Elephas maximus indicus: one gene and its partners. The protein of the gene in region 3 interacts with the protein of the main gene of each other region in a biochemical or structural test. Links are inferred from orthologs where the notes say so. Each region holds a gene or a part of one and is shown on either strand. Other genes may lie near its edges. The genes, in order: PTPRR, SREBF2, MAPK3 and PTPRJ.

Region 1 (7,078 bases), on a different chromosome or scaffold from region 3:
GGCTTCACCTACCAGAACCAGTGTGTAATTTTCAACAGTATGCTATCACAGGTCTGGACACTTGGATTTTCATCCTGGCTATGCTATTAATAGACTCTTCATTATTCTGGATCTTAGTTTTCTGATCTGTAAAAAGGGTGATAAATAACTAAGTTTTTGTTTTTAAATAAGGAGATTGATGAAAATCATCTGCCATGGATAGAAGCTAAGTCTAGCTTCTCTAATATGTGCCATAGTCAGCAATTCTTCAGGGTTACCTTACCCGGAGATGTCAATTACATCTCCCAAACATTGCAAATAGATCACAGTATTTTCCCTGTTGAGTTAGAACTCAGGGTCAGATTTTTTTTTTTCTTTTTGTACAATGTCTCAGGAAACCATGACCAAGTAATTGGAGCTGGCACTCAAGTTGAAAATAATTTGCTACCTTATGATTAGAGGCATGGCTATGTTGAAGGCAACACTCCTACTACCACTAAGAGGAGCACTCACATCCCGTTAGTCAATTTTTCCCATTTCTAAAGCTTTCTAACATGTCATCAGTTCCACCAGCATAAAGCAATTGTTGGTTCCCTGGGCATAACCAAAATGGATCAATTAGCTTTCCAGTTAAAGACGCCTAAGTATATAGGACTCATTTCCCTTCTTTATAAAGCCTGTTTCTGTCCTGAGAGAAAAGCCTTCTGTAAAAGAAACAAATTCAGACATTCAACAAGTAGAGAAATCAGTTACATGACTTCTTGATCTTTATCCTACCACCCACTAATTTTCTTATTGGCCAAATATACAGGAGGTTAGATCAAGGAATCTGTGTTTGTTTCATTTCTGATGTAAAGCTCTAAAAATGTTATTAGATAGCTGTGATGAATTTTAATCGGATGACAGCTTGTGACCCACAAATTTCAGTGTAAAATTAAAATGCATCCAAAATGAAACTGGCAAGAGAACCACGATATTAAACTTGCAGTCTGCTGTGATAAAACACCTATCTAAAGCACTATATTAAATATGAATACAATTAATTTCTACACAGCATCTGGCAACTGAAATCTGAAAAAGATAACTCTTCAATATATTGCCTTATTAAATTCAATTCACTAGAATAATCTTTTTTTTTTTTTTTTGCAAATTAAAAAGTCAAAGTAGAGATAGATTGGCTTGGCTTTGATAATACACCCTTTGGCAGAGTTCCAGGTATAATCTAGGGTTCCAGACTTCTAGGTTTCTCCTTTGAACAAAAGTCCTCTATTTTCCTTATCCCAAATATTCATCTACAATAATTTAGAAATGTTTACCACATGGGTTTTTTTTTTTAAGTTTAGTTACTATTTTTTGAACTATAATTACTCAAGATACATTAAGTGTGATCTTCAAGGTAGAATACTTTTTAAGGTTGTTTATATATTAGCTTTGAACAATACTCTAGTATTTTTGCTAGATTGGTTAAATTATTTCTAAACTTGAAGCTTTTTTTTTTTTTGGAGGAGGTAATAGATATCTGTATTGGTGCTATCATTAGGCAATCATGTAAACAAAACTCAATGTCTGTATTTTTATCCCATATTTCAACATTAAAGAAGTGTATGTGGTAATAAAAGGATTCACTGTAGCTGTTTGCGAGTAATTTAATGACCAAGTCATAGCTATTTCCTGGTTTTCAAAAGGTGCCAAAGAATGATAGAAAATCCCATAATATAACATCATAATTATAACAATTAACATGTGTACTTAATTACAGCCTTAATTCTCCTATACATTACTTGCTCAAAAGATTCACAATACATTAAAATAGCACTAGCTAGAATTGTTTTTAGCTAGAATTGAGAAAGTACCATATTATACTCCTATTATTGCACACATAGGGAAAAAAATAACTCATTTAAAGAAAATGCCACAATAACTAATTAAATGGCTGTTATTTTTATCCATTGACCCTGGAACATAGAACACACTCAATAAGTCTTAATTGAAGGAATGAATAAATATGTATGATTGGATGATAAGCAAAGTCAGGGAAAATACCTAGTCTTTGGTTGCTACAGGACTACTGCATAGAAGACTGCTGTCGCAGTAGGGTCCCTAAAACCTCTCTGCCATATTCTATTTTGGTTCATGTATGTATAAAAATGATAAAGGATTCAGTCGAGCAAGTCTTTGCATTACATAGAGGCACTATGTATCCAAAAAATCAAGGTCTGTAGTGACATCGCATATGAAATTTCCCATGCACTTCCTAAGCTTTGCTTCTATATAAAACCTGACATTGGTTTTGGTATCAAATCTGTTCATATTTAGAAGCAGTCTCACTGTCACTTCTGGCTAGACCTCATCAAATCTGTCCCAGGGTTGTCAGCTTGGAAACTGTGATTGGGTTTTTGCCAGTGGACTCTGCCCATGGTGCTGAAACAGAAGAGAGGGTACAATTTGAAACCTTTTCTCCCTCTTACTGGTTTACAAAATTCGATTGACAAGAGCAGGGGCCAAAGGAGCCTGGGTTAACAGCATTTGGTGTGAACCACGTATTTCGATCTTTTGGGAGGAGATGTGGTCCATCTGGTTACAGCCAATGCATCCCTGTGAGCGCTCACTAAACCAAGAGAGCATGTAGATACAGCCGCTGCAGTAAAAAAAAAAAAAAAGGTTGCATCCAGCAGGATGTCTTGTCCCTCTCCTGAAAGAGTGGAAGTCAAGAGCATAACCTAGAAACAGGGGCAGGGAGTCTAGATGGAAGAGAAGAGGAGCAAATCTGTACAAAGGCTGAAAATATTCGAGATGTACGGAAAGATTAATAGCTGATTTTAAGTTCAAGTTTTCTGCCTCAGTCTTCCAACAGGTGCATGGCTCCCTCACCCCTTCCCTGCCAGGTAGTGTCCTGCGTTGCCTTTCTAGGGCTTTCTTTGCAAGGCAAGCTCTTCCTAGAGTCCTTAAGCATTGGCAGTTTCCCATTTCATCCACAGCTCCAGCTCTATGCCCTGCAACTCCTTACCTGCAGCATGAAGACTAAGAAGCAGGCACAGCATGGGGAAGCCGACTGCTCTCCGCATAGTGTTTGCATTGAGAGGTGGAGAAGAAACTCCTCCACGACCCCACTTCAGGCAAAGTGAGATTAGATAGAGCCACCGCGAAGGGTCCTCTGGTCTCCGGGAATTAGCTCACGGGTCCTCGGCTGGGTTTGCAGAGCTGGTCTGTGGCGCGGACTGAGACAAGCACCAGCTTCACCTCCCTAAGAACCGGGGAGAGGAAGAAGAGTAGGAGGAAGCTGGCTGGGGGTGGTGGTGGTGGTGGTTGTGGTGGGGAGATGGGTGCTGTGCCGCTCAGAGGTCCTAATGCTTGGCCTCCTGGAAGCCCTGCAGCTGCGGAGGAGCGGGAGGGGTGGACTCGGGTCGCGTTCCCGCGCCAGCTCTGGAGCCGGGTGGCGCGGCCGCCGGAGCAGCGAGAGAGGCAGCCCGGCCTCGCCGCGACTACTGAGCATGCCCAGCACCAGCCCTCACGCGGCACGGGAGTTTCAAAGTGAAAATCCACTTCTCCGGGTCTTAGTGGCGGCTGCGAGGGGAGCAGGCACCACCCCAGGGGGCTGCTTGGGGCTGTTATTAGTCTTGAAATCTGTCAAAAACCCTTGTGCGGGGGGCGGGGGCGGAATGGGGTGGGGCGGGGGGACAAGATGGGGAAACGACCAGAGGAACCAAAGAGAGAACCAAAGAAAGTGTCAGCCACACCGACCTACCCTATCCCTTCACCAATTCTTGGTTTACAAGTGGACGAAGCTCAGTGCTGGGAGTTTGGTGGGCCTCAGATTGACCAGCTTCTCAGCACTAGCCTACGGGAATATAGATTGCTTATCGGGTGGCTTGGCCTGCTGAGCATCCTAAGCTGCCTGGAGAGGCCCCCCAAACAGCCTACCCCTCGTAAGCAGTGAAGGTGCAGACTGGGGGTGTCTTCTTCCTAGCAGATTTCCCCTCTTTGTTTCTCTTTCCCCTCCTTCCAGCTCAGTCTGTATTTAAACTTTCTCTTGACTCAAGTCAAAAATTTATGGCCAAAACGACAGAAAGAAGTGAGCCCGTACTTTTAGACTAGCGGAATACATCCATGAAGCAAAGCAAGATGCCTTTTATCTGTGAAGATAATTACCTTTAGTTTCCATTTTATTCTGTAAGGTAAAAGGCAATAGGATCACCTCCCATAACAGGGCTTCTCTGATCCAGCTTTGTGTTTCAAGGGAGGCTATTACAGTCTGTCTAACGTAGGTTGCCCTCTTTTTGTATTTTCCATCTTACTGCTAAGTCTTTGGTGTGTGGAGATCCCTATTAATCTAGTTTAGTGGCCAATTACTCCCAGAGTCAAGAAGTCCTACAGTTAGACTTCTTTAACTATTCAAGGAACACTGACCTTTCTGCTTCTGCGTCTTTACTGGTACTCTTGCCTCCGCTCTAATTGCCTCCACTTGCACTACCACTACACTCAAGCTTACAAGAGTCTAACCTTAGTCTCACTGTGTCCAGAAAGCCCTGGGCCAACTTCAAATTACAGTGATGTTTCTCTTCCACCTATGAATGCATACACATTTGGTTAGCATTGCCTGTTATTTTCCTTTCACATAGCTCATGCATCTGTGGTTTGTCTTACAGCACAGTTGAAGGCTCCATAAAGAACTTCTGCATCTTTGTATCACTTAAATTCAATAAAATTGTTCTAGGGAAATAATAGATACCAACAAGTACTCTTTGAATTGAACTGCATATCTAATTGAATGCTTTCTTCCTCTATCCTCTGTAAATTGGGACAAGTGATGGGAAATATGCTACTCACCAGAGCTTAAATTAGGCAGGATCTCATAGGACCTGAAAGCTCAAACAGCATCATTTTTCTTTTATAATTTATTTCATCCCCGGCACTGAAAGGCAGGCCAGGAATTGTACCCCAACAGGCGGGAGAAGGGGAGATGTAGCTTTAAAAATTGAAAGGTCGTCTATGCCAAAAATAGAGAAATGTGTAGCCTCACTCTTTGTACTCTTCTATTTCCCAGGGTTTGCTGGCAGGCACTATTTCTGTGGCACAACCATTTCTTCCAAACCCAAGGAAGCTGTAACCTCTTCTCTTACTCCAGATTCTTTTTTCTCTATCTCCTTTTTTTTTTTTTTTTTGAATAGCATACATCACTTTCTAGCATACCAAAATAATTACTCATTAATCTATTGTTTGTTGTTTATATCCCTCCCCCCAGCTATGAAATATGACCTCCATAAAGACAGAGACTTTGGACAATTTTATTCACTTATGTCTCCCAACTGCTTAGAACAGTGCCTTACATGAAATAGGTGCTCAAAGAATGAATAAGTTGAAAGCAATTGGTTGATAAACAAAGCTAAGTAGTGACAATCAGCTTGGCTCTTTGGAATTCTTACTAAATAGACCTTTGAGATAATTTATGTAGCTGTGCTTAAAGCTAGGAGGTTGTACAATGGGTAAGTGCTAGGATACTGACTGAAAGGTTGGTGGGTAAACTCATTCAGTGGCTCTGCAGGAGAAAGACCTGACGACCTGCTTTCTTAACGATTACATCCAAGAAAACCCTATGGGGCAGTCACATGGCATCGCTATGAGATAGAATCAACTCCACGACACTCAACGACAACAACAAAGCTTAGAGGCCATCATTCATCTGTCAGTTTGTTGTACTGTGGTGACCTGTGTGTTACTGTGATGCTGGAAGCTATGCCAATGGGTATTTCAAATACTAGCAGGGTCACTTATGGTGGACAGGCTTCAGCAAAGCTTTCAGAGTAGGACTATGGAAAGAGAGCTGGTGATATACTTCTCAAAATTAGCCAATGAAAACCTTATGGATCATAACAGAATACTGTTTGATATAGTGCTGGAACTTCTGGGTTGGAAGGCATTCAGAATACACAATGGCTGCAACAATGGACTTGAGCATACCCATGATTATGAAAATGGCACAGGACAGGGCAATGTTTCATTCTGTTGTCCATGGGGTCACCACAAGTTAAACCCAACTCAACAGCAACTAACAATAAGAAGAAGGAGTAACCCTTCTCATCTAATATATGGTACTGGAGAGGCTGTAGGGTTTAGTGTGGGGGGGATATAACTGCTGTAGGGTTTAGTGTGGGGGTTTAGTGTGGATTTCCTGTATTTTCTCCTTCCCTAAAAGAGCTAATTTCCAGACTTACATAGGTCTCTCCAAGAAGAAAATGCCTCATACTAGTGAAACACTAGCTGCAGTGAGGCCCTAGACCCCTTATTTTCCCACACAATAATTCCAACAATTATTCCAGGAGGAGTGGGACATTTATAGTTTCAATTAATATAATTGGCTGTGCCTTTGCCCACAAGACTTCTGCTAGCTATTTTGCCTAGGGGCTGAATTATTAAACTGTGCAAGAAAATACTCTTAGCTGAAAATTTTTCCAATTTCTAATTTGACCAGGTATACTACTAGGATAGTTCAGCATGGTAAAAATAACCTCATAGGAGCTATATTTTTGGTGACTGGACATTAATGATTAATTTACTTGATAGAGAAAAGAAGGCAAGAAAAATTCATATTCTTTGGTGAGTCGATCTAATATAACACCTCTAATGGTTTTGATCCCATGATGTGTGAAATTGAACAGCAATAAAATAAAACCTCTGAATTCTTAGAAATAGTCTCTGTTAATCTATAGGTACTACTTTTCCTTGACTCTGTGATCTAATGCTAGTGAAGGCGATGTGGTGTGTTAGAGAAGTTAGGTTAACACACTGCACCTGGGGTTTAGAGAAGCTAGTTCCAGTTCAAAGACACACGAAAATTATTAGAATGAGAGAAGCATGCAAATTAGTGCCGGCCTATAAAGCTGTTTCCTAAAGGAAATCATTTACATTTTAAAAGACGAATGGAAAGCTAGTATCCTATGGACTTTTCCTTCCCAGCAAACACCTAATCTCTTATGAGGTAAGGTTCAGGAAGAATTTACACAGGAGATAAGCCTTTCAGAGCCTGTCCTCAACACAAATTTAGGCATGATAAGCCTCCACATTAACCAAACTATAAACCAGAGGAAAATCATTCATGTCT
Region 2 (7,816 bases), on a different chromosome or scaffold from region 3:
CAGACACTGACATCTCTTCCTGAGAGGCTTTCCATGACTACCTCCTCAGGTAGGCTACCCTAGTCACTATATTATGACCCCATTTTATTATCTTCATAGCACCCTGCTAAAACTCTTCATTTATTTTGTCTAGCCTGAGTTTTCTCCCTCGAGGATTCACCCTCTCTGAGAAAGAGACCCTGTCTGTCTTGTTCAAAGCTATCCTCAGCACTGTGCCTACCAGGGGGTACTCAGAAGCCACTCAAGAGATGTGCTGAGTGACTAGAATGCATGTGCCCCCAAAGGGCACCAATGGACTGGTGCAGGGCAGACTCTGCCCAGCGAAGGATTCCTGACCACCTGTGTGCCAGGAGGAAGTGAGCAGGCGCTGTCCAGGCTGCAAGTGCCTGTTGCCCTCCCATTCCCCCCACACACATATGAAGGAAGCACTTGTACTCACAGCCACAGGGGCTTTCCTCTTCTTCACCTGACTGACCATGGAAGCACCTGGGCTGGTGACCCTGGTCTATTCCAACTCCAAGGACTGTGTTTAGTACAACTTGGTATCCTGCCCAGCCCAAGGTCATTGTATTCAGTCAGCATTTCGCAAATTATCAGTGAGCACTCCGTGCCAGGCACTGTTCTAGGTGCAAGAAACACAGCGCTGTACAAAGTGAAGACCCCTGCCCTCATGAAGCTGTTGCTCTGGAGGGGGAAATGGTGGGTGAGTATTGAGAACTGCTTGTATCTGCAAACCACAGGCCTTCAGCTGGCCCAATCCTTCCTGTCCTTCAAAGCCTAAGTCAAGGACCACCTCCTCGGGGCAAGCTTGCTGGTAAGACAGTCTTTAGTGAACTCCCTCACTGCTGATGTTCACCTACTGCCCTGTACATCACATTATAAGCTATTCTGTACTCGGCACTACGGCTTTATTGTCACTGTCTCAAGCTCCACGAGGCCACAAAATTCTCTCCTGTCTCTCCTTTTCCCTACAGCTCAAGAACCACAGGCAGACCTGACTACTTGGTGACCAACTAAAAACAGGGAATCACTTCTCCCAAACCTGGTATGGATGGGGACCTGGGAAGCCAGTGAATCACTGTGGCAGTTTCCACAACGGACATTTTACTAAGAAATCTATGCGGATACAGCTACTTTACCAGAAGGTAATTGAACACGTTACAAATTAAGACAAATAAGAATTCCTTTGGATTAGGAATGCAAAAAGCACACGAACTTCCTTTTGCCTGCTTGCTGAGAGACAGCTTTGGACACATTTCTTACCGGTTGTGTAACCTTGGGCAAGTTAATGACCCACCAGGGCCTCAGTTTTAGGATCTGTGAGAAGGGAATGACAGTAGTGGAATGGCAGGCACTAACTGATAGGACTGTTGTGAAGATCAAGACGACCAATGTGTACGTTCGCTGAACACAGTGCCTGGCACAGAACTGCTCCAAACATGTTAGCTGTCCTTGTTATATTCCCAAAAACCCCCTCCCCCATTTGTTAACACATCTCTGTATTCAGGAGCACCTGCAGTTAAGACACCGGGCTTCAACGAAGGGTCTCACCACATGGCCCAGATGACTAAACACAGAAAGCAAGGGCAGGCCTAGGAGAGGTGCTGCGGAAGCAAAATGGGAAAGGCATCCTTTTCGGTTAGTCAGTCGCTGCCACTTTCTCTTCCCACAGAGAAGAATCTTCTGTTACCCGTTTCTTCCTGTACACAATCTGGACAGAACCATCATACTTGCCTTCAAGGCTGTCACGAGATCCTACCCGCCAAAGCACTTGGTAAGCTCAAGCGCACAGTGCACCTCAGAGTTACTGTCTAAAAGCCTGGGTCTGGGTTCTCTAAGGAGAGTGACCTTACACAGGTTAACCTCTCCTGGCCTCATATTGCTGCAGAATGGGGCAATAAAAACATCTCATAGGACTGTTGTGATCAATAAATGAAACAGAGTACTTTGGGTCTGAAACACCAGAAGGGCGCAACTACTGGGTTATTATTAAGACTCCTAACCTGTTCACTAGACTCCTCACCCCCAAGGGTCGGGGGGAAGCCTGATACAGTGAAACCAACACTGGTCGCGGAGCTGGGAGACCTGGGCTCTGGCTCCATAACGAGCTGAGAGACCTTGGGCAAGTCGCTGACCATCTCCAAACTCCAGTTCCCATGGCTACACGAAGAGAACATTGCAAGAGAAAATCCCTGGGCTTCTACCAGCCCTTCCACTCTGCTGTGAAGGCCTCCAGAACAAAGGGCACCCGCTACCGAGCCTGCCCACGAAGGGCCACAACCCAAAACTCCTGCTGGTCAACTCCCTTCGCAGGCACGGTCAGGTCTCCGTCCCGGAGAGATGCGTCCACGCTCGGACACCACTGCTCGCTTCATCAGCAACTTGCTTCTGCAGCCGCTGCCCAAAGTTTTCCCAGCGCCCGGCAACCCGGTGGGCCGTCACTCCCGGGAAGACCAGAAGTGGGGGCAGGCGCCGGGAGCCCTGCCCCGGAGATCCCAGGGCCTCCCCGCAGCCCGGCCGGGAGTGACAGGTGCGACGCAGGCCGGGACAGCAGGAGAGCGCGGAGCTCACGTGGGCGCGAGGGAGGCGGCGGCGCGCGCTCGCTCAGACCGCCCCCGCGCCCCCACGACTCACACCCTACTTCCGGACACGCGGCGCCGCGGACCCCACGGCCCCGGAGCAGAGCGGCGGCCGAGGCTCCAGCCCACAGCGCCCGGAAGACTGGGGACCGCCGGGCGAGCGCGCGGGGCTCTTCCCGCGCGAGCCGAACTGCCGCGGGGTGGGCGCACGCGCACCCGCGCGCGCCGCCGTAACCCCTTCCTCCCCGCGCGCCCCCGCACTCCCACCCACCCATCCACCGCTCACCGTCGATGTCCCCTAGGGTCAGTTCGTCGCCCAGCTCCGTGAGCGTCTCCATGGTCTCCAGCCCGCCCAGCTCGCCGCTCCCGTCCATCGCCCGGCTCGGCGCAGAGCCCACCTGCCGTCCCGCTCAGGAAGACGCAGGGGCGGTACCGCCGCCACCGCCCATGACACCCGAGATCCCCCGCCCGGTACCGCCTCACCGACCCGCGCCAGTCGCCGCCATGTTTGCGCTGCGCCCGGCGCCGCGCGGGAGGGGCGGGGCGGGATTCCCCCGCCCCCGCCCGCGCCCTCCGCGGCCCCGCCCCTAGGGCGCGCTCCCCCTTGTTTATTGTCAATGGGACCAGGCTGGCGGCGGCCAATCGGCGCTCGAAGCGGCGCGTGGGGTGATGGTGCGTCAACGATCAGCAGCTCTGATTTGCATACTTAGGCCCCGCCCCCCGCAGCCTTGTAGCCAATGAGAAGACAAGCCGGCCGATCCTCAGTCCAACCTCCCTCCCGGAGTTTAAAAGAACCGTTCCCTTTTCTGTGAGACGCGCTCCGCAAGCAACTCCCGCCACCTGACAGAGATTAAAGGGTTAACGCATAACCCTCTGCCTCCGCCTGCAGGACACCCCTGCTGGCCAGGAGCGCATTACGTCATCTTCCCAGCTGCCCACCCCGCCCCGACCGCCTAGAGAAGCGCGTAGAATCCAACCTGGCCGCCAACACTTGGAGACGAGGGGAACCTGGAGATCGTCCAGGTCACGTTCCTGCCAATCCCCTTACAAAGGCGGAAAAGAAGGCTCTGCGTGGGCAGCGAATTGCCTAAATGCAGTCGGCGTTTTATGGCTTTGCGCCTTGGCACCTGCCATGACCACGCACAGTACTTCGGAGCCCCTTGAAGACCTTAAAGCAACGCCGGTGCCCACTGGCCTCCCGAGGTGGCCCAGGCATGGTTATTTTGAAAAACTACTGCGGGGATTTTGACGCGCAGCCTTGGCGAAGACAACTACCCGTTGGCTTTGCCCACCCACGGTGTTCTCTAAGCATCTCAGGTTGCAGCTGGTCACCTTGTAAAAAATTTAAATGTGCAAACTTCTAGGAAAATTACCTTACTGCAGAACCAAGAACTGTAATTGTTGAGTATTTCTGCCTTGTTTTGTGTGAGACTTTATAAACGTATATATATATATGTATACATATATATAGCCTTGGTGGCCCAGTGGTTAAAGTGCTCTGCTGCTAATGGAAAGGTCATGGTTTGAACCCACCAATGGCTCCAAGGAAGAAAGATGTGGCAGTCTGCTTTCATAAAGATTACAGCATAGAAAACACTATGGGGCAGTTCTACTCTGTCCTGTAGGGTCCCTATGAGTTCGAGTACACTCTACAGCAATGGGATTTAGGTATACACGTAGCAAATATCTTTGTTTTCTTCCCTTCTTTTTATGATGGTTAAGATTGTGTGTCAACTTGGCTGGGCCATGATTCTCAGTGGTTTGGCAGTTATGTAATGATGTAGTTTGGCAATTATGTACTGATGTAATCATCCTTCATTGTATGATCTGATGTAGTCATTCCCCATCTTATGATCTGACAGGAGCAGCCCTGCAGTTGACAAGGAAGTGCATTGGGGGTGTAGGCTGCATCAAATACATATATGCATGTTCTGGTAAACCTTGCTGCCGTGCTCTGGATTTTGCATTTGACTCTTCATCCTCTGATCTCTGGTTCTTGGGAGGTGAGCCAGCAGCCTTCCACCTGACCTGCCAATTTTGGGTTCACCAGCCCCTGCAACCATGTAAGTCAGACGAAGCCTCCGCCTGACGTCTCACTCAAGGATTTGGGGCTTGGCAGCCTCCACAATTGAGTGAGCAATTTCCTTGCGATAAGTCTCTCTATATACGTGTATTTATATATATGTGCTTTGCTGGTTTTGCTTCTCTAGAGAACCAACTTAAGATGTGTAGAGAGTGGTTCTAGAGAAGCAAAATTTTAAGGATGAGTTTTCTAAATTGGTTCTCAAATCTGTCTAATATTAAAGGCACTGATGACTCTGCTGTTGGGAGTAAATGGGGCACTGCTAATCCATAAGGTGATGTGGAAATAAAATATGCAAAATGTCACCACCAATGGATCAACTATTTGTGAGACAAAGTTCTGGGTGATTGCATATTTGCTACTTTTCAAGCAATTTTGTCAGAATGAGAAGTATAAGGAAGCTGGTTGGTTGGTCCTACTTTCACAAGACAAAGTGGTGAAAAAAATGAGCTCAGGGCTTCAGAGTCACAGCTCAAGTACTGCACAAAACACATCAAACCTGCTACTTGTGCCATGAAAGAAAACCTTATTCCTTGTAGTAACACAACTGATACCGCCACAAACCAAACCCAAAGTCTTATCATAACAGTGGCTGAATCACAATGCCAATTGAATTCGCAACCTCAAGTAGTGTCTGAAGTTAAAGTGAGGGCATTGATTGGCAAGAAATGGAATCCCGAAACTTGAGATGGGGACATATGGGCAGATAATCCGGAAGCAGAGGACATCAAGCCCCTAAATTCAGTTGAATCACTCCTGTCACTATACCTGCTCTCTTGCTCCCATCTGAAGAGATTACTGCTTCTTTGACTGCTAAGGCACCTTCCCCAGTAAAACCATTATCCCCACCATCCCCATCTGATGAGATTAATCCAGCTGTGCCTTAAGAGTCTGTCTGAGATATTACCTAGGGTGGCACCTGGGGTGTTGCCTGGGAAAACACTTGAGGCAGATGCCTTATAAGACGCTGCTGAATGTCCCCAGGACCCACCCGCACCACCACATGTAACTAGACTTAAAGCACTGAAGGCATTGGTGAAAAGCAAGGCTCTAAGAATTGATGCAATACCAATTAAAATGTATTGACAAATGGATGCAATACTAGAAGCATTCACTCATCTATGCTAAGAAATTTGGAAGACAGTTACCTGGCCAACTGACTGGAAGAAATCCATATTCATGCCCATTCCAATGAAAGCTGATCTAACGGAATGCAGAAATTATTGAACAATATTAATATCACATGCAGGTAAAATTATGCTGAAGATCATTAAAAAATGTTTGCAGCAGTACATTATTGACTATGCAAAGGCATTCAACTGTGTGGATAATAACAAATTATGGATAACATTGTGAAGAGTGGGAATTCTAGAATACTTAGTTGTGCTCCTAAGGAACCTGTACATAGACCAAGAAGCAGTTGTTCGAACAGAACAAGGAGATACTGTGTGGTTTAAAAGCAAGAAATTGCCTCAGGGTTGTATTCTTTCACCATACTTATTCAGTCTGTATGGTGAGCAAATAATCCGAGAAGCTGGACTATATGAAGAAGAAAAGAGCCTCAGGATTGGAGGAAGACTCATTAACAACCTGTGATATGCAGATGACACAACCTGGATTGCTGAAAGTGAAGAGGACTTGAAACACTAATGAAGATCAAAGGCTACAGTCCTCAGTATGGATTACACATTAACATAAAGAAATAAAAAATCCTCACAACTGGAACAACAAGCAACATCATGATAAATGGAGAAAAGACTGAAGTTGTCAAGGATTTCATTTTACTTGGATCCATAATCAACACCCATGGAAGCAGCAGTCAAGAAATCAAACAATGTATTGTATTGGACAAATTTGTTGCAAAAGACCTCTTTAAAGTGTTAAAAAGCAAAGATGTTACCTTGAGGACTCAGGGACACCTGACCCAAGCCATAGTATTTTCAGTCATCTCATATGCATGTGAAATCTGGACAATGAATAAGGAAAACCAAAGAAGAATTGATGCCTTTTAATTATGGTGTTGGCAAAGAATATTGATGATACGATAGACTGCCAGAAGAAGGAACAAATCTGTTTTGGAAGAAGTACAACCAGACTGCTCCTTAGAAGCAAGCATAGTGAGACTTCATCTTACTTACTTTGAACATGTTATTAGAAGGGACCAGTCCCTGGAGAGGGACATCATCCTTGGTAAAGTAGGGGGTCAGGGAAGAAGAGGAAGACCCTTAATGAAATGGATTGATGAGTGGCTGCAACAATGGGCTCGAACATAGCAACGATCCTGACGATGGTACAGGACTGGGCAGTGTTGTGTTCTGTTGTGTATGGGGTTGCTATGAGTTGGAACTGACTCAATGGCACCTGACAACAAGTCCAAGCGAGCCCCAAGAGGTGAAGAAAGTGCGACCCAGGAGGAGGTATGCTACACTCCAAAAGAACTGCTTGATTTTTCTAATATATATAAACAGAAACCTGGGTAATATGTGTGGGAGTGGCTGTTAAGGATGTGGGATAATGGTGTGAGGGACATAAAGTTGGATCACTCATTGATGTGGGCCCACTAAGCACAGATTCTTCATTCAGTGTTTCAGCTTGAAAGGTTAGAAAAAGATCTGATAGTTTATTTGGTTGGTTCACTGAAGCATGGATTAAGCACTGGCCTATACTAAACCAAGTTGAAATGCCAGACCTGCCTTGGTATACTGTAGAAAAAGATATCCAAAGGCTTAGGGAAATAGGCATGTTAGAGTGGATTTATCAGGTTGGATCAACAGACCCACTCACGGAATGCCCAGAGGACACACCTTTCACCACAAGAGTGAGGAAAAAATTTGTGAAGGGAACCCCAGTATCCTTGAAGACTGCTGTGATTGCTATTTATGTAAGTCAGATTTGACAGTGGGAACTACCCTAACTGAACTAAGACAACTAACTACAATGGGGCTGACTGGACCTTGGGGTGGTAGGGGCCAAGTGATGGCACTCAGTGGACAAAGACAAGGTGTGTGTGATTACTGTAATAGAGGGCAGAGTCAAAGCTGTTTAGTCATGGTGTCCCTAGGAGTGAAATAGATGGAAAATCTACTAAATATTTTCTTGATGTATACAAGTGAAAGAATTCTAGGTCAAGTGAATGGCAGTCTAACCTGAATCA
Region 3 (6,979 bases):
GTCTGTGCCTCTATTTCCCCATCTGCAAATGAAGGAAATAACTATTCTTTAGAGGGTGGTTGTGAGGACAGGATGACAAAACCCATGTAAAACAGTCAGCCCAGTGTTTGACACATAGTAAGTAATCAGCAAACATCAACTATTATAAATGTCCGTGCCACATGGCTGTTGAGAGGGTTAAATGAGATAATGCATGAACACCATCTGGCATGCAATAAATATTTGCTTATTTTTAAATTCCTGCCTGATGGGAATGGTTTGCGCAAGAAAAATGAGGAGATACTCCCAACAGCACACTCCTACTCAAAGAAGAGTCGTTGGCCAAAAATCAGAAGATTGAGGAATAAATGTACATTTACATTTTAAGATAAAACAAATATTAAATATAAATAAATGCCATTTGGCTTGTCTCTGGAGGAATAAGTACTGAATATCTTTTAGAATCAGCCTCAAAAGGGCCTTCTGAGGACATGTGGACCAACCCTGCTGCTTTAGAGATGGGGAGACCCAGCAAGAGGCAGTGACTGGCTTAAGGTCACACAGCAAGTCAGGGTAAGCACAGAGATTCCCTGTCCAGTCTGTGGTGGAGGCTGCAGACTCTACAGGGCAAATCCCCACTCTTGGGTGGAGGCTGGGGCCCTGGTGATGCAGTGGTTAAGAGCTACAGCGAGCTATGGCTGCTAACCAAAACACTGGCAGTTTGAATTCACCAGCCACTCTTTGGAAACCCTACGGGGCAGCTCTATCCTATTCTACAAGGTTGCTGAGTTGGAATCAACTCGATGGCAACAGGTTTGGTTTTTATTTACTTTGGGTGGCGGTCTGGGATGGGAGAAGGGGTGATGGTATCATAAGCTGCTGAAAACAGAAGCCATCGAGCCAGGCAGGAAGTGGACAACAAACCAGGAAAGCAATATCAGAGGAGGCCAACAAAAGTTAGGCTGTCCCTCCCTGGGCAAGGTTCAAGTTCAGAGGTGACTTGGGTGGGGTTCTGAGAGGGAAATCCCAGAGAAAAGACAAGTTCTTATTTGGGAAAGGGGAAGAGGCAGCAACAGAAGCACTTGATTTTGGACTTTCTGAGTCTCCTTTTCCTCATCTTTGAAATAGAGCTCACAAGGCCCATCTCTTAGGGCAGTTGGGAGGGAGAATAAGAACCATCAAAGCACTTGGCAGGCACAGCTCTCTACACATAGTAGGCCCTCAAGGAAAGGCAGTTTTCTTCCTTCCTGCCTTCGTTCCAGTCTGGGGTCTAGAGAGCAAAGAATCAGTCTGTTAAGCAAGAACCAACTGTGGGCAGAGGCTGGATCATGTCACAGAACTGCAGATGTCAGAAGACAAAGCTCCCATAGAGACTATCTCACCCAGCCCCCTACTGAGGCACAGGGCAGAAAAGGGACTAGCCCAAGGCTACATGGCCTGGCTGCAGCAGGCCAGGATTCAATGAAGGCCCCAATCCTTTAACACTCTGTGTGTGGCCTCTCGGGCCAGAAAGTTTCTTTTACTGGGTTTGTTCTGGAAGGTGGTAGGGAAGAAGGAAGCAGAAAGAATGCCAATGCTGTCCCCAGCCCAGCTCCAAGGCCACGCCTGGCCAGCCATCCGGCAGAGGTGAAGGATACACGTCCCGCATTGCTTCCAGGGTGGGTGCCCGCAGAATGTCTCGGATGCCAATGACATTCTCATGGCGGAAGCGTAGCAAGATCTGGATCTCCCGCAGCGTGCGCTGGCAGTAGGTCTGATGCTCAAAGGGGCTGATCTTCTTGATGGCCACACGAATCTTGCGCACGTGGTCATAAGCTGAGCTGAGAGGGCCAGAGAGATGTTGATGGTGTGGCCTTATAAAGGGGGAGTCCAGGACTGGTAGCCCCACCCAGGCCTTGGCAGGGAGGGAAGGGAGCAGGAGAGGGCTCTGGTCAAGCCATAAACAATGATGGTTCCTTCCTGCTGGGGAGGCCTGGGATCTCTAGGGAGAAGGCAGGGGACCAGCCAGGCAGCCCTTTGGTGACTTCACAAACGGAGGAAGAGGCTGACCGCTCGCTGACATCCCCTATTCTCACCCCCCTTTCATTCTAGTTGCCCTGAACCTTCATCTTCCTCTTCCCACAGGGTGTGCGCCCTGAACCCCAGACAGGTCCAGGGATGGAGATGAATAGAGGACATACAGTGAGGCAAATACAGTGAGACGGAGGGGGCCATAGGAAGGGCTGGAAAGAAGGGACAAGGCAGGGGTTGGTGTCAGGGTGAAGTACCTGGGCAGTAGAGCTGTTCCCGCAGGAACAGAAGCCCAGAGCAGCCGGTGAGGCTGGGAGAGTTCACAGACCCCTCCCAAAGGATGCAGGGAGGCACTCCTGGCCCTCATCCCTCACTGGGCCTCTGGCCCCCAGCCCAAAGCCCTGCCCCACCCTGCCCAGCCCTAAGCGCTACTCTTCTCTCCCAAACTGTTTTGGCACAGTCTCAGTGGGAGAATCCCAGGCATCCTCTCTCCAAAGAAGGTCCTTTACTCCCCCTTAGGATACTACCTCCCCAAGAACACTTAACCTCTTCGGCCCCGGGTCTCCACCCGTTCCTCCCAAGGTCCCCACAGGTCCCCTCGATACACTCAGAAGCCCCTCCCTTCAGTATGGAATGATCCATTCAAGGCCTCCAAGCCCCCTCCCACTGGAACGCACGCAGCGCCCCCTCCCCCAGAAGGCACTCAAAGGTCCCCTCCCCGGGACGCTCCCCGAGCCTCCTCAGTCCCCTGCCTCTTCGGGACGCTCGAGTCTCCACATCTCAGGAAGTACTCAGCACCCCTTCCCCTCTCCTCCCCCACTCTCGGAGCCCCCTCCCCTTAAATCACCCCGATCGCTTAAACAGCCCCCTCCCCTGGGACGCCCCCTCACCTGACCATGCCGTACGCGCCCTCGCCGATGTACTGTAGCTGCGAGTAGCGAGGGCCCACGTCGAACGGCTGCCCCTTTACTACCTCCACTTCCCCCGGGACCCCCAGGCAGACCCCATCAGCTCCCCGGGGCTCCCCGCCCCCCTCAGTCGCCGCCGTCGCCATCTCCACTCCTCCCCTCCCACCTCCCCCCGGCGGCTGCGCCCGAGGCCCCGCCCCTTCCCGCCCGCCCTGTCACCGCGGAGCGGCGCGCGCCGGGTCCCGCCCCCGCCCCGCCCCTGGCGCCCCGCCCCGCCCCTGGCGCCCCGCCCCCTGGCTCCCGCGCAGCTCGAGGCTGGGCCGCGGGCGTCACGTGGTCCGCTCCTGAGCGCGCCCAGATTGTCTCCTGCGGGCGTTGTGGTCCTCGGCGCCCGCGGGCTCCACGGGGCGGTCTTAGGGCTGGTCCGGACCGCCCCCCCCGGGGAGAGACGAGCCCAGTACGGCTGGCCGGTGAACTTGTCCCGAAGCCGTCCAGCGGGTGTGTGGTGCAGCCGGGACGTGTCGCTGACTTCCCGAAGGAAGGGCTGCGGCCGAGGCGCGCCCAGGGGTTCGAGATGGAACCCTCGCCGGCCCCTTGTCGTTTGGCCAGGCTCGCCCCTGATAAGCCTCGGTATTTCACAGTAGCCCTGCAAGATGGCTTCATCACAGATGTGGCTTGCCTCCAGAGGGGCCTGGTGACCTGGAGCCTTTCAGCTCAAGTGAGAGCTGGTGAACCCAGGGGTCCAGATTCCCAGCGTCTGGCTTGTCGACAGAGCCTGTGGAAGTGGGCTGTGGGTACCTCTCCTCTGCCAGCAACTGCAGCAGTGGCGGTCTGCTGCTTGATTAGTGCCCGGAGCACAGATAGCCCCAGCCAACTTTTACTTGGGAGGCAGGAGAGAGGCAAGAAGGCCGCATGCAGAGGTGACTGGGTTTGATTAAGATAACACTATCTGGATTTTCCCCAAAACCGCAAAATTGGAAACGTTTTTGTTGCCATTGGATTTGGCAAAATGGGAACCCTGGCAAGATGAGCATCGTGAACCTGTACCAGACACTGCAGTTTACAGAATGCTTGGATCATTTCAGTTTAGGACAACCCTAAAATATAAGTGTCATCCGATTTTCTTAGCTGAATGAGCAGAGGCCATGTCTGTCCATTACTGTATCATCCCCCCCTCCCCGTGCCTGGCACTGAATAGATGACGTTTTACAGATGGGGAAGCTGAGACTAGGATTAACTGACTTGGGTAAACAGTCACCTCACGGTGATGACAGCTCTGAGACTCAAAATGATGTCTCCTGATATGGAGGCAGAAGCTTTTTCTGATCCCGTACTTAGTCCCTCAGAGTCAGACTGTTAGAACTGAAGAAAAGACCCTCAGAGCATCCAGTCCACCTCCCTCATTTCACACTGAAAATATACGTTGGAAGCTTCACAAAAGGAGACATCTCCTAGGCTTCAGTAAGTAAGGATGTTTTTAGATCCTTGTATGTGTTCCAGACCAAAAGGCAAAACGGAATCGTAATTAGAATTCTGAAATTGCTCATCATTAGACCCACGGCCAGGCACTCCAACTCTGATGGATGAGTTGCTGATTCCCGACACCCCATAACTCAATGACGGTTCAAGAGGTGCAAATTAGATCAAAGTTTTTTCAGCTATTCATCTGATAAACTATTCAACGTCACTGTGTGCAAAGCTCTGAGCTAGGCACTGCAGCTGGTGAAAGATTGTAGTATGAATTAGTGGTTAAGAGCAGGAGTTCTCTGGAGCCGAATTGCCCAGGTTAGAATCCCATTTTTGCCACTCACTTGCTGTGTTACCCTGGACAAATTACCTACTGGCCTCTCTGTTCCTGGAGTTTATTATCTACTGAAGAGATAAAATGTATACACATAAGTCAGTTGGATACAAGATAAATGGATGTAACATCTAGTGTGAGCTCAGGGGTGGGAGAGATCACTCTTTCTGGGAAAGTGAGGGAGGGATAATGGAGGAGGTGGCATTGAGCCATTGGAAAAACAGTGGCATTTCAGCATGCCTGGCTATTTTTTTTTTTTGGCTAGAGGAAAGGTGTCAAGGAGGAGGAGCAGCCTGAGCCAAGGCACAGGGTCGGGAGCATGCCTTGTCCAGTGTGACTGGGGTTTAAAGCAGTAAGGGGAGTTTAGGCTGGCTGGGTGCGGCCAGATCGAGTGAGGGAAGGTCTTGGGTTCTGGCAAGGAGTTTGGATGTTACTCAGTGAGCAGTAAGAGCCTTTGAGGGATTTTTGCCAGATCATTTTGCAACTGCAGGAGAATATAGTGACTCAGAGAAAACACCGTGGAGTTCAGCACTAAGCCAGGTTTCCTGAGTGGGAGTGTTTCCCGGCATAGGAAAGGCTGGTGTATCCGGTGAGGCCGCCTGCAACCTCAGGCTGCACTTGTCTCATTGAAGAGAGTGACCGAGATTGCCCTCTAGTGGCTGTGGTTGGTATTTCCTCGGACGGTTGGACTGGGATTTCTTAGTCCATTGAACTGATTCACATTCAACTGATAGAAACTGAGCATCTATTCTGTGCCAGGCACTTTTATATACATTAGCTCCTGTAATCCTTACAGAAGCCGTATGAAGTCAATACTATTATTTCCTTTTAAGAGAAGAGAAAAACAGAGGCTTATTGAATTGTAGAGTTGGAAGGGACCCCAGGAATCATTTTCCTCTCCAGGTAGTTCATTATGTCCCACCCAGCTCACTGCTTTGTTTGAGTTTTTTAGCAGCTTCTAGTTGGTTATCTCTGTCCTCTGTATTTACCCAGATTAAATCTTAAACCCAGTTCTTAACTTTTTGTGATTTCAAGGACTGGAACCTTGTTTTTTCAGAGCACAAATGAACCTTCCCATTTCAACTAACTCCACTAATCATCACTAACCGAGAAGGTAGCAAGTACGCAGAAATAGAGGTCAGAGGGCATTTACAAATTTGTCAAGATTTAAGTACTGACCATTTTTTAAGGGAAGGGTGAAGAAGAATTGACGCCTTCGAATTTTGGTGTTAGCGGAGAGTATTGAGTATAGCATGGACTGCTAAAAGAACGAACAAGTCTGTCTTGGAAGGAGTACAGCCAGAATGAAAGCAGAAAGAAGCAAGGATGGTGAGACTTTGTCTCACATGTTGTGGACATGTTGTCAGGAGGGACTAGTCCCTGGAGAAGGACATCATGCTTGGTAAAGTGGAGGGTCAGTGAAAAAGAGGAAGGCCCCTCAATGAGATGGACTGCCACAGTAGCTGCAACAATGGGCTCAAGCATAACAAGGATTGTGAGGATGGTGCAGGACAGGGGCAGTGTTTCGTTCTTTTGTACATAGGGTGGCTATGAGTTGGAACCGACTGGATGGCACTTAATGACAACAACACTTTTTTTTCTTAATCTAAAAAACCTCTGCTGTAGTTTTCTGATGACACCTCTTCAAATATTGGAGAATATCTATGGCCAAACATCTCTCCTCAGGAATAGGCCTTCTTCACCTAATCCTTTCTCTGAAATCTTTGTCGCCACCTCTGCCAGTCCCTACTGGCATCCTTCCCTGGGCTCCTCTTCTCACCAGCCTTTTTTCTCTTCACCATCCCCCTTAGTCACATCACACTCCTATGGCATCAACTTTTTGCTTTATGTAAAATCTCTACCCTTAGCCATTGCCTTTCTCCTTCATCCTGGTGCCAGATTTCCAGTGTTTGCTGCACAGCTTTACCTGGAGGCTAGCTGATACAAATATTCAGCATGTCCAATGAAAGTCATCCTCTTTATTTCCAAACCTGTTTCTCTTCCAGACTCTATTAGCTTTAGTATTACCACCATTCTCTCAGGATCAAACCTTGTCGTTTTTCATTTTACCATTTCTCTCCGCATCCAACCAATTTCTTCTCATTTTATTGCCAAAGCCATCCCCTCTACAACTGGTCAGACTGTAATTTCATATTATCATATTTCTACTTTTTAACTTTTCAGTTTAAATAGTTTTAGATTGACCAAAAAGTTGCAAAAAATAGTTCAAAGGATCTCCATATACCCTTCGCCACACTCTCTAAATGTTAACATTTTAAAT
Region 4 (7,231 bases), on a different chromosome or scaffold from region 3:
TGGGAAACACACAGTGAGGTAGCGCTATGTCCATGGTTAGAAGTAAGAGCAAAACGAAAACATGAGGTTTTCAAATACTGTAGCATCATGAAAATACCAGACATAGCCAGAAGACCCAGGTTCCGGTGCCAGCTCCTCTCTATTTCATGAGACAACCTCAGCCTGATCACTGTCTTCTCTGGACCGCAGTACCTTCATTTAAAGAAATGAGAGGTTTCAACTACCTTGAACGGTGAACTCAACAATGCTCTGATTCCCTGAAATAGCCAATTATCAAACAGAAGTACCAAACGTGAATTTGGAAGATGATTTTTCAGAAAGCCTTTTAGATTTCCTATTTTATAATATATCCAAAACTGAGAAATTCAAGAGACTCTTCTTGAGTTTCTAAAAAACAAACTCTAGAGGAAGGAACTATCTGAATATGGGACAAGTACAGAGTGGCAACATGTTAATGTAATACAAGGAAGGGTTAGGCAAGAAATAAATTTACCCAAGAAACTTTTTGCTGATTCAAAGCACACCAAGCAATCACCATGTCTGAGGGGAAAAAAGAAGAAGAAGAAAAATATATATATATACACACATATACATATGCATATACAGAAGCTCTGCTGGTACAGTGGTTAAGAGTTTGGCTGCTAACCAAAACGTCAGCAGTTCAAATCCACCAGGCACTCCTTGGAAACCCCATGGGGCAGTTCTAGTCTGTTCTATAGGGTCACTGCATCAGAATCCACTCAACGGCAACAGGAACAGGTACATATATGCATATATACATACACACACACACAAAATGAAAAATAAAGCTGAAATATTTCATTAATATAAACACTGGTATAAAAAAAATCTTCAACTGAGGCAATTTTCTCTCTTTTTTTTTAATCTCGCAGGCTAACCCGTTGCTGTCAAGTCGATTCCAACTCATAGCAAACCTACAGGACTGAGAAGAACTGCCACATAGAGTTTCCAAGGAGTAGCTGGTGGATTCATACTGCCGACCTTTTTGGTGAGAAGCTAAGCTCTTAACCACTGTGATGCCAGAATTTCCTCACAGGGACAGGGAGAAGACAGCCCATAACAGTTACCTTAATGATAATCCCATCTGGATATCCTTTCATATTTACAAAGTTCTTTCAGACATTTCACAGCGGAATCTCCTCAGACAACCCTATCAGACCAGTGGTATTACACCCATTCTACAGATGCTGTTAACCGAGGCTGGCAGGAGACTGAAAAGCAAGTCCAACTGTGATGCCTAGCCCTGGAGCTGACACTTCCTCCAGTATTCTCCACAGAAGATCCACTACCTTCCAGGCCCTCACGAGAGCACCTCAAAGCCTGCTAGGAAAACTAAGGAGACACAGGCCACCCAGAGTGACCCTTTGAGGGTTACCACAGTCCCCAGGCCCCAGCGCCCTTCTGGCCCTGCCTGCTAGGCTGCATTGCTCCCTCCATCGCTGATGTTTTTGTTCCCAGACAATCCTGTATTTGTGCTTGAAAAGTTTTCCCTGAAACCAGGTTCCATCCTCAGCCAGTAACTCACTTCCTGGGTTTCAAACATCATCTCCTTAGAGCTGGTATCTATAAAACAACGAGATTTTCATTAGCAAAATGGGCAACAGGGACATCAGGAGGCCAGTTTGCCTGAGGTATGAAACCCTCACAGGCTCCCCGAAGTCTGGGAGAACAAACCAGCTTGCTCAGCCCCTATGGCATCCGCAGGGCGCTGCCATTCTTTCACTTCTCTCCCTCAGTTCCCTATCTGTGAAATGGGAACACCCCCCACGCCCAGCTGTCCTGCCTCACCACCACCCCCATGGGAATGCCGTGAAGGGGAAACGATGCTTTCAGAAAGATTGTTCGCCAAAAAGCCACGCACAGCATTATCAGAAAACTCAAGCTAGAAAACAGAGGGGTGGGGAGACAGTTGGTGCCCCCAAAGCACGAAGTAACCACCCAGGGAAGGAAGCCCTACGGCGCGCCCGGCAAGAATGAACGCCTGCTAGTGGCCATCTCTTCCCGGGCTGGGAACTTTCCCCAGAAGCAACGTCTTCCTCCCGGAGGCCCCGCTCCTCTCCCGGCGCCCCCGGGCCGCCGCCGCCGCCGCCGCCCTTCGGCCCGGCCCCTCGGGCCCTGCAGGCCGGGTCGGAGGTCTGCGGCGGCCGGGCCTGGCCGGCCCCGCTTCGCGTCCCTAGCCCTGGACAAACACGCCCCCTCCGGCCGCCTCTGGCGGGCGCGCCGGGCCCGCGCCGGCCAGATGTGACCGGCTCCGGGAAGGGCCGGGCCACGGGCGGCCTGGAGGGGGCCGGGTTGGTGGCGCGCTAGCCCGCGCGGGGGTTTCCTCGGGGAGGCGACAGGCACCCCGCGACCCCGCGTTCCGCCGCCCCCCTACTGGAACTGGGCAGCAGGCAAAGGCGCTCGGTCGCCGGCGTGCAAGGCCGGCCAGGGTCCCCGCGAGCCCCAGCCAGGAGAGGGACGCCGAGGACCCGGGTCCCTCGCTACCGCCCCCTCCCCCGAGCCGGAGGGGCTCCCCGGGCAGGTGCAGGGACGCCAGCCCGCCCTCCCACCCCCGGCCCCGCAGCTCACCTGGCCCAGGCGCAGCAGCAGCAGCAGCGGCGGCAGCGCCCAGCGCAGCCCGGGCGAGCGCCGAGGGGGCCGCGCCGCCCGCGCCGCCGGCTTCATGCCCCGCGCGCCCTGCAACGTGCCCGGGCCGCGCGAGTCGGGCCCCGTGGTCGTCGCTGCGTCCAGCCGCCGCCTCCGCCTCCTCCTCCCCCAGCCCGTGCGCCTCGTCCCCGCTCCGCCCGCCCCGGGCTTCCCCGGGGACATGGCAGCGGCGGCGGCAGCGGCCACACGGCGGAGCGCGGCGCGGCAGCGGCGGCGGGGGGGCCGAGTCCCCGGGCGCTCAGGGGCTTCGCGGGGCGGAGCGAGCGGCGCCCACCTTCCGCGCGCGGCGGCTCGAGCCCGGCTCCCGCGGCCCCGGCTGCTCCAGCTGCCTCCTCGGCGCGTCATGCGGCTTAGGCTGCAGGGAGCCGCGGCCAGCGCTCGGCCCCCTCCCTCCCCCTCTGAATATTCATCGCTTCCTCCGCCCGGCGGCCTGGCCGTGCGGAGCCCGCGGCCCCTCGCCGCCCGCCCCCGCCCAGCGGGCCAGCGGCTCCCCTCGGCGGGCGGGCGGAGGAAGCGTCCCCGCCGCCCTGCCCGGCCCCTTCGCCTAGCCCTCCCACATTCCTGGGATTTGGGACCCGGGACGCGGCTCCTCTGCTCTTGGGGCACGAGCCCGCACCCCTGTAGGCGCCCCGAGCCTCGGCCCCGCTCCACGGCCCCCAGTTTGGGTCACCAGATGGTGACCGAGACCCCTGCCGAGGGCACAACTGGGCCCCCGTCCAGACGGCAAGCCGGCCAAGGGGTTCTCGACCTGGCCTGTGGGTGGGCTTGTGGGTGCGTGATCCCCGAAGTTGTAGGCAGCATGCTGTGTGTTGTGTCCTTCCTAGCCCTGTGCCCAGGCAAGGGAGGCAGTGACCGGCACTGGAGCAGGTCCAGTGATGTCAGGACCCCAGCTCTGGCATATGGGAAACCTGGCTCTGCTGGTAGTACTAGCTGTTTGGCCTTGGGAGGGGCATTTCAGCTCCCTGAGCCTTCCTTCCTTCATCTGTGAAATGAAGATAATACTAGTACCTGTCTAGAAGGACTTAGCTGAGGATTAAAAGAGATAATGGGTGTAAAGCCTGCCACATAGTGCACCTCAATAACCGTTAGCGATTGGGAGAGCATGCATCACGTTATCAAAGGGATCCATGGCCTAAAAGGGGTTAATGATTACTGGGAGAGATCGCTACCATGCCCTTGCACAAAGGAAGGAACTGAAGGTCTGGGAGGCCAAGTGACTTGCCCAAGGAGAAGGAATGAGAAAAAGAGCCAAACCAAGGAGTGGTGAGGAGGGAGAGGTTAATTCCAACCAGAGGGAGAGGTGACATCGGAGCTGGGCTGTGAAAGATGGGTTAGATTTCACCAGGCAGAGGAGAGCAGCATCTCAGGAAGTGGGAGCCACTTGCCAAACGCTAGAAGGTGAATGCTTCAGGCTGGGCCTTCTTGATAGGAAATTTGGGACCTTATATTTGGGAGACCTCTTTCAAGTGTTAAAAAAGCAAAGATGTCACTTTGAGGACTAGGACTAAGGTACACCTGACCCAAGCCATGGTATTTTCAGTTGCCTCATATGCGTGTGAAAGCTGGACAATAAGTAAGGAAGACCAAAGAAGAATTGCCTTTGAATTGTGGTGTTGGCGAAGAATATTGAATATACCATGGACTGTCAAAAGAACGAACAAATCTGTCTTGAAAGAAGTACAACCAGAATGCTCCTTAGAAGCAAGGATGGTGAAACTACGTCTTACATACTTTGCATATGTTATCAGGAGGGATCAGTCCCTGGAGAAGGACATCATATTTGGTAAAGTAGAAGGTCAGCATAAAAGAGGAAGACCCTCAACGAGATGGATTGTTACAGGGGCTACAACAGTGGGCTCAAGCATAACAACAATTGTGAGGATGGTGCAGGACCAGGCAGTGTTTCTTATGTACATAGGATCTGATGTACATAGGATCACTATTAGTCAGAAGTGACTCAAGGACACCTAACAACAACATAACATATTTGGGGGAGACTTTGAAGGCCAGAACAAGGAGTTTGGGCAGGACATTATGTACAAACCAAAACTCCAATTGTGGAGTCAATTCCGACCACGTGTTCAGAGTAGAAGTACGCTCCATAGGGTTTTCAAGGTCGAGAACTTTCAAAAGCAAATTGCCAGGCCTTTCTTCTGAAGCATCGAGCATTGGTGGGTGGGTTCAAACCGCCAACATTTAGGCTAACAGTCAAGCGCTTAATGTTTATATCACTCAGGGGTCCACCTGCATTCTTCGTGCACTAGTGTGGAAACCACCAGATGTCCAATACTGCCTCCAGGCATCCCTTTGGGCAACAGGTTCCCAGTCTACAAGATGGGAACTATATCTTTATTTAAAATGTCTTCAGGGCTCCCACCCCACTGCACACACAGACAAGCAAAGAAGGTAAGGGGACCTCACCTACTGACTTGCATATCTTGCCACCCTACACACTCTGCTGCTCCCAGCCTTCCCCCTCCATCTCAGGGCACAGACAGGTAGTTTGAAAGATGTTGCTGTCCATGATGCCTGGTGAGAAGACATGGGTGGCTTGCCTCAGGTGCTCCCAGATCTGTGGGGTGTCCCAGGTCCTCGCAGACTCAGCTGATCCTAGAGGCCCACCCAGGCCTCTGCAGCTTCGTGGTTTTGGTCTGCAAACGACTCTGTGAACTCCTGCGTGCCTGTCGGTTTTCTCCTGGATGAAACACGTGCCCGCACAAAGTGGTGGTTGGAACCAACTTTCCCCGCTGCACAGTGATGAAACAGAATAAACAGTCTTTTCAGTAAAGGGAGTTAAGACCTGAATAAACTACCTGTGAAGTCATAAACAATCACACTGGATTAATGAACTATATGAGGAATGAAGTTAATCCCAAGTAGGTGTGGTGTAAACTCCCTGAGGGCAAGGGTTGGGCCTGCCTCATCTTATTGCCCTGTAACACCTCACTCAGTGCCTTCCTCAGAGCAGGAACTCAAATATCTGTGCAGATGCATGGCTGTGTAGGAGCCCTGGTGGTGCAATGGTTAAGCTCTCAGCTGCTAACCAAGCAGTTTGAACCCACCAGCCACTCTGTCAGAGAAAGATGTGGCAGTTTGCTTCCATAAAGATTACAGGCTTGGAAATCCTATGAGGCAGTTCTACTCTATCCTGTAGGGTCAATGTAGGTCAGAACCAACTCAACGGCAGTGGGTTTGGTTTGGGTTTGATATGGCTGTGTAAGTGCACCCGGAGCACCATGAGTAAATGTTCATTTTTCCACAAGCATAAATTAGGAGAGGAGCATTCACTTCACAAAAGGAATAGGGACTAGATCCCAGTGTGTAGGTCTCTTCCCTAGATGTCACTGCCCCAGAACTTCTTCCCAGATGACCCAGCCGGAGTTGGATGTACTCTGCCCACTCCGCCATGTGCCCAGGGCTCCCTTTGCTCAACCTTATCAACAGTGTTGTAATTGCCTGTTTACTTGTCCATCTTCCTAATGGAAGCCCCTTGAAAATGGGGCCTGCACCCTGTTTATCGTTGTATCCGTAGCACGTAACAGGCACTCAAATGATACTTATTTAATTAAATTGAATGCATTCCTTTGAACAGCAAACTAGGGTATTAGATTTATGCCTATTTTCTCTCTCTCTTTCTATCTCTCTCTCTCTCACACACACACACACACACACACACACACACACACACACACCAAATTCCATTCATAAGCAGCTTTTTAGGAATGCATCTACCATGCAAAGCTCAGGACACATTCTCCTTAATAATGCCCAATGATGTTTGACCTTTTCATCATGTCCACCTTCAAGCCAAGGCTAAAGCTTCACTGAATACGGAGCCAGATCCATAAAGGACCAAAGGGCCATACCAAGAGTTCAGAGTGGAGGGCTCCTGGGTTCTTTCCAAATTGCCTGATAGGAATCACTGGGGCTTATTATAAAACAGATTCTCATGCTTGCCTTAGACTGTAGACGGTGCAGCCTGGGAACCTGTGTTTTAAGAAGCACATCAGGTAATTCTTGCTGGATTCAGAAGCACTGTTTATCCTGTGACTGGCCTGATCATGCCCCTAATAATGATAAGTTCCATTTATCAAGTGTTTACTAATTGGAGCACTGGTGACCCAGTGGTTAAGCATTCAGCTGGTAGTCAAGAGGTCAGCAATTCAAATCCACCAGCTGCTTCTTGGAAACCATACGGGGCAGTTCTTCCCTGTCCTATAGGATCGCTAAGAGTCAGAATCGACTTGACGGCAATGGGTTTGGTTTGGTATTGTCAGGCACTAGTCTAGGTACTTCATATCCATTCTTTCTATTCCTGACAAGCACCTTGTAGAATAGGTAAAAAAAAAAAAAAAAAAAAAAAAGAATAGGTATCATTGTGAATATTTTACAGTCACTGAATTGTAATGCGATGATTGTTGAAATGGTAAATGTTTTATTACCTGTGCATTTACTACAATTAAAAAATCTTAGAACAAAAAAAAATTTTTTTTAATTTTTTACAAACAAGGAAACTGAGTCTCGGAGAGGCTAAATTACTTACACAAGGTCACACAGCTTTACA

What was found.
Region 1: the proteins of MAPK3 (region 3) and PTPRR form a complex in vitro, tested with the Homo sapiens proteins (2 studies listed by BioGRID). The link is inferred for Elephas maximus indicus from reciprocal best matches to the Homo sapiens genes MAPK3 and PTPRR.
Region 2: of the proteins of MAPK3 (region 3) and SREBF2, one has a biochemical effect on the other in vitro, tested with the Homo sapiens proteins (2 studies listed by BioGRID). The link is inferred for Elephas maximus indicus from reciprocal best matches to the Homo sapiens genes MAPK3 and SREBF2.
Region 4: of the proteins of MAPK3 (region 3) and PTPRJ, one has a biochemical effect on the other in vitro, tested with the Homo sapiens proteins (2 studies listed by IntAct, with this or other methods). The link is inferred for Elephas maximus indicus from reciprocal best matches to the Homo sapiens genes MAPK3 and PTPRJ.

Annotation. Positions count from the first base shown.
Region 1 is NC_064822.1:132,265,390-132,272,467, forward strand, and holds the start of PTPRR (receptor-type tyrosine-protein phosphatase R), read right to left. Parts: upstream 3,026-7,078; 5' UTR 3,021-3,025; coding exon 2,987-3,020; intron 1-2,986. UniProt on the Homo sapiens protein: Sequesters mitogen-activated protein kinases (MAPKs) such as MAPK1, MAPK3 and MAPK14 in the cytoplasm in an inactive form.
Region 2 is NC_064822.1:185,998,002-186,005,817, reverse strand, and holds the start of SREBF2 (sterol regulatory element-binding protein 2), read right to left. Parts: upstream 3,111-7,816; 5' UTR 2,954-3,110; coding exon 2,866-2,953; intron 1-2,865.
Region 3 is NC_064830.1:89,118,927-89,125,905, reverse strand, and holds the start of MAPK3 (mitogen-activated protein kinase 3), read right to left. Parts: upstream 3,044-6,979; coding exon 2,880-3,043; intron 1,800-2,879; coding exon 1,617-1,799; intron 1-1,616.
Region 4 is NC_064825.1:103,307,987-103,315,217, reverse strand, and holds the start of PTPRJ (receptor-type tyrosine-protein phosphatase eta), read right to left. Parts: upstream 3,041-7,231; 5' UTR 3,013-3,040; coding exon 2,590-3,012; intron 1-2,589. UniProt on the Homo sapiens protein: Tyrosine phosphatase which dephosphorylates or contributes to the dephosphorylation of CTNND1, FLT3, PDGFRB, MET, KDR, LYN, SRC, MAPK1, MAPK3, EGFR, TJP1, OCLN, PIK3R1 and PIK3R2. Plays a role in cell adhesion, migration, proliferation and differentiation.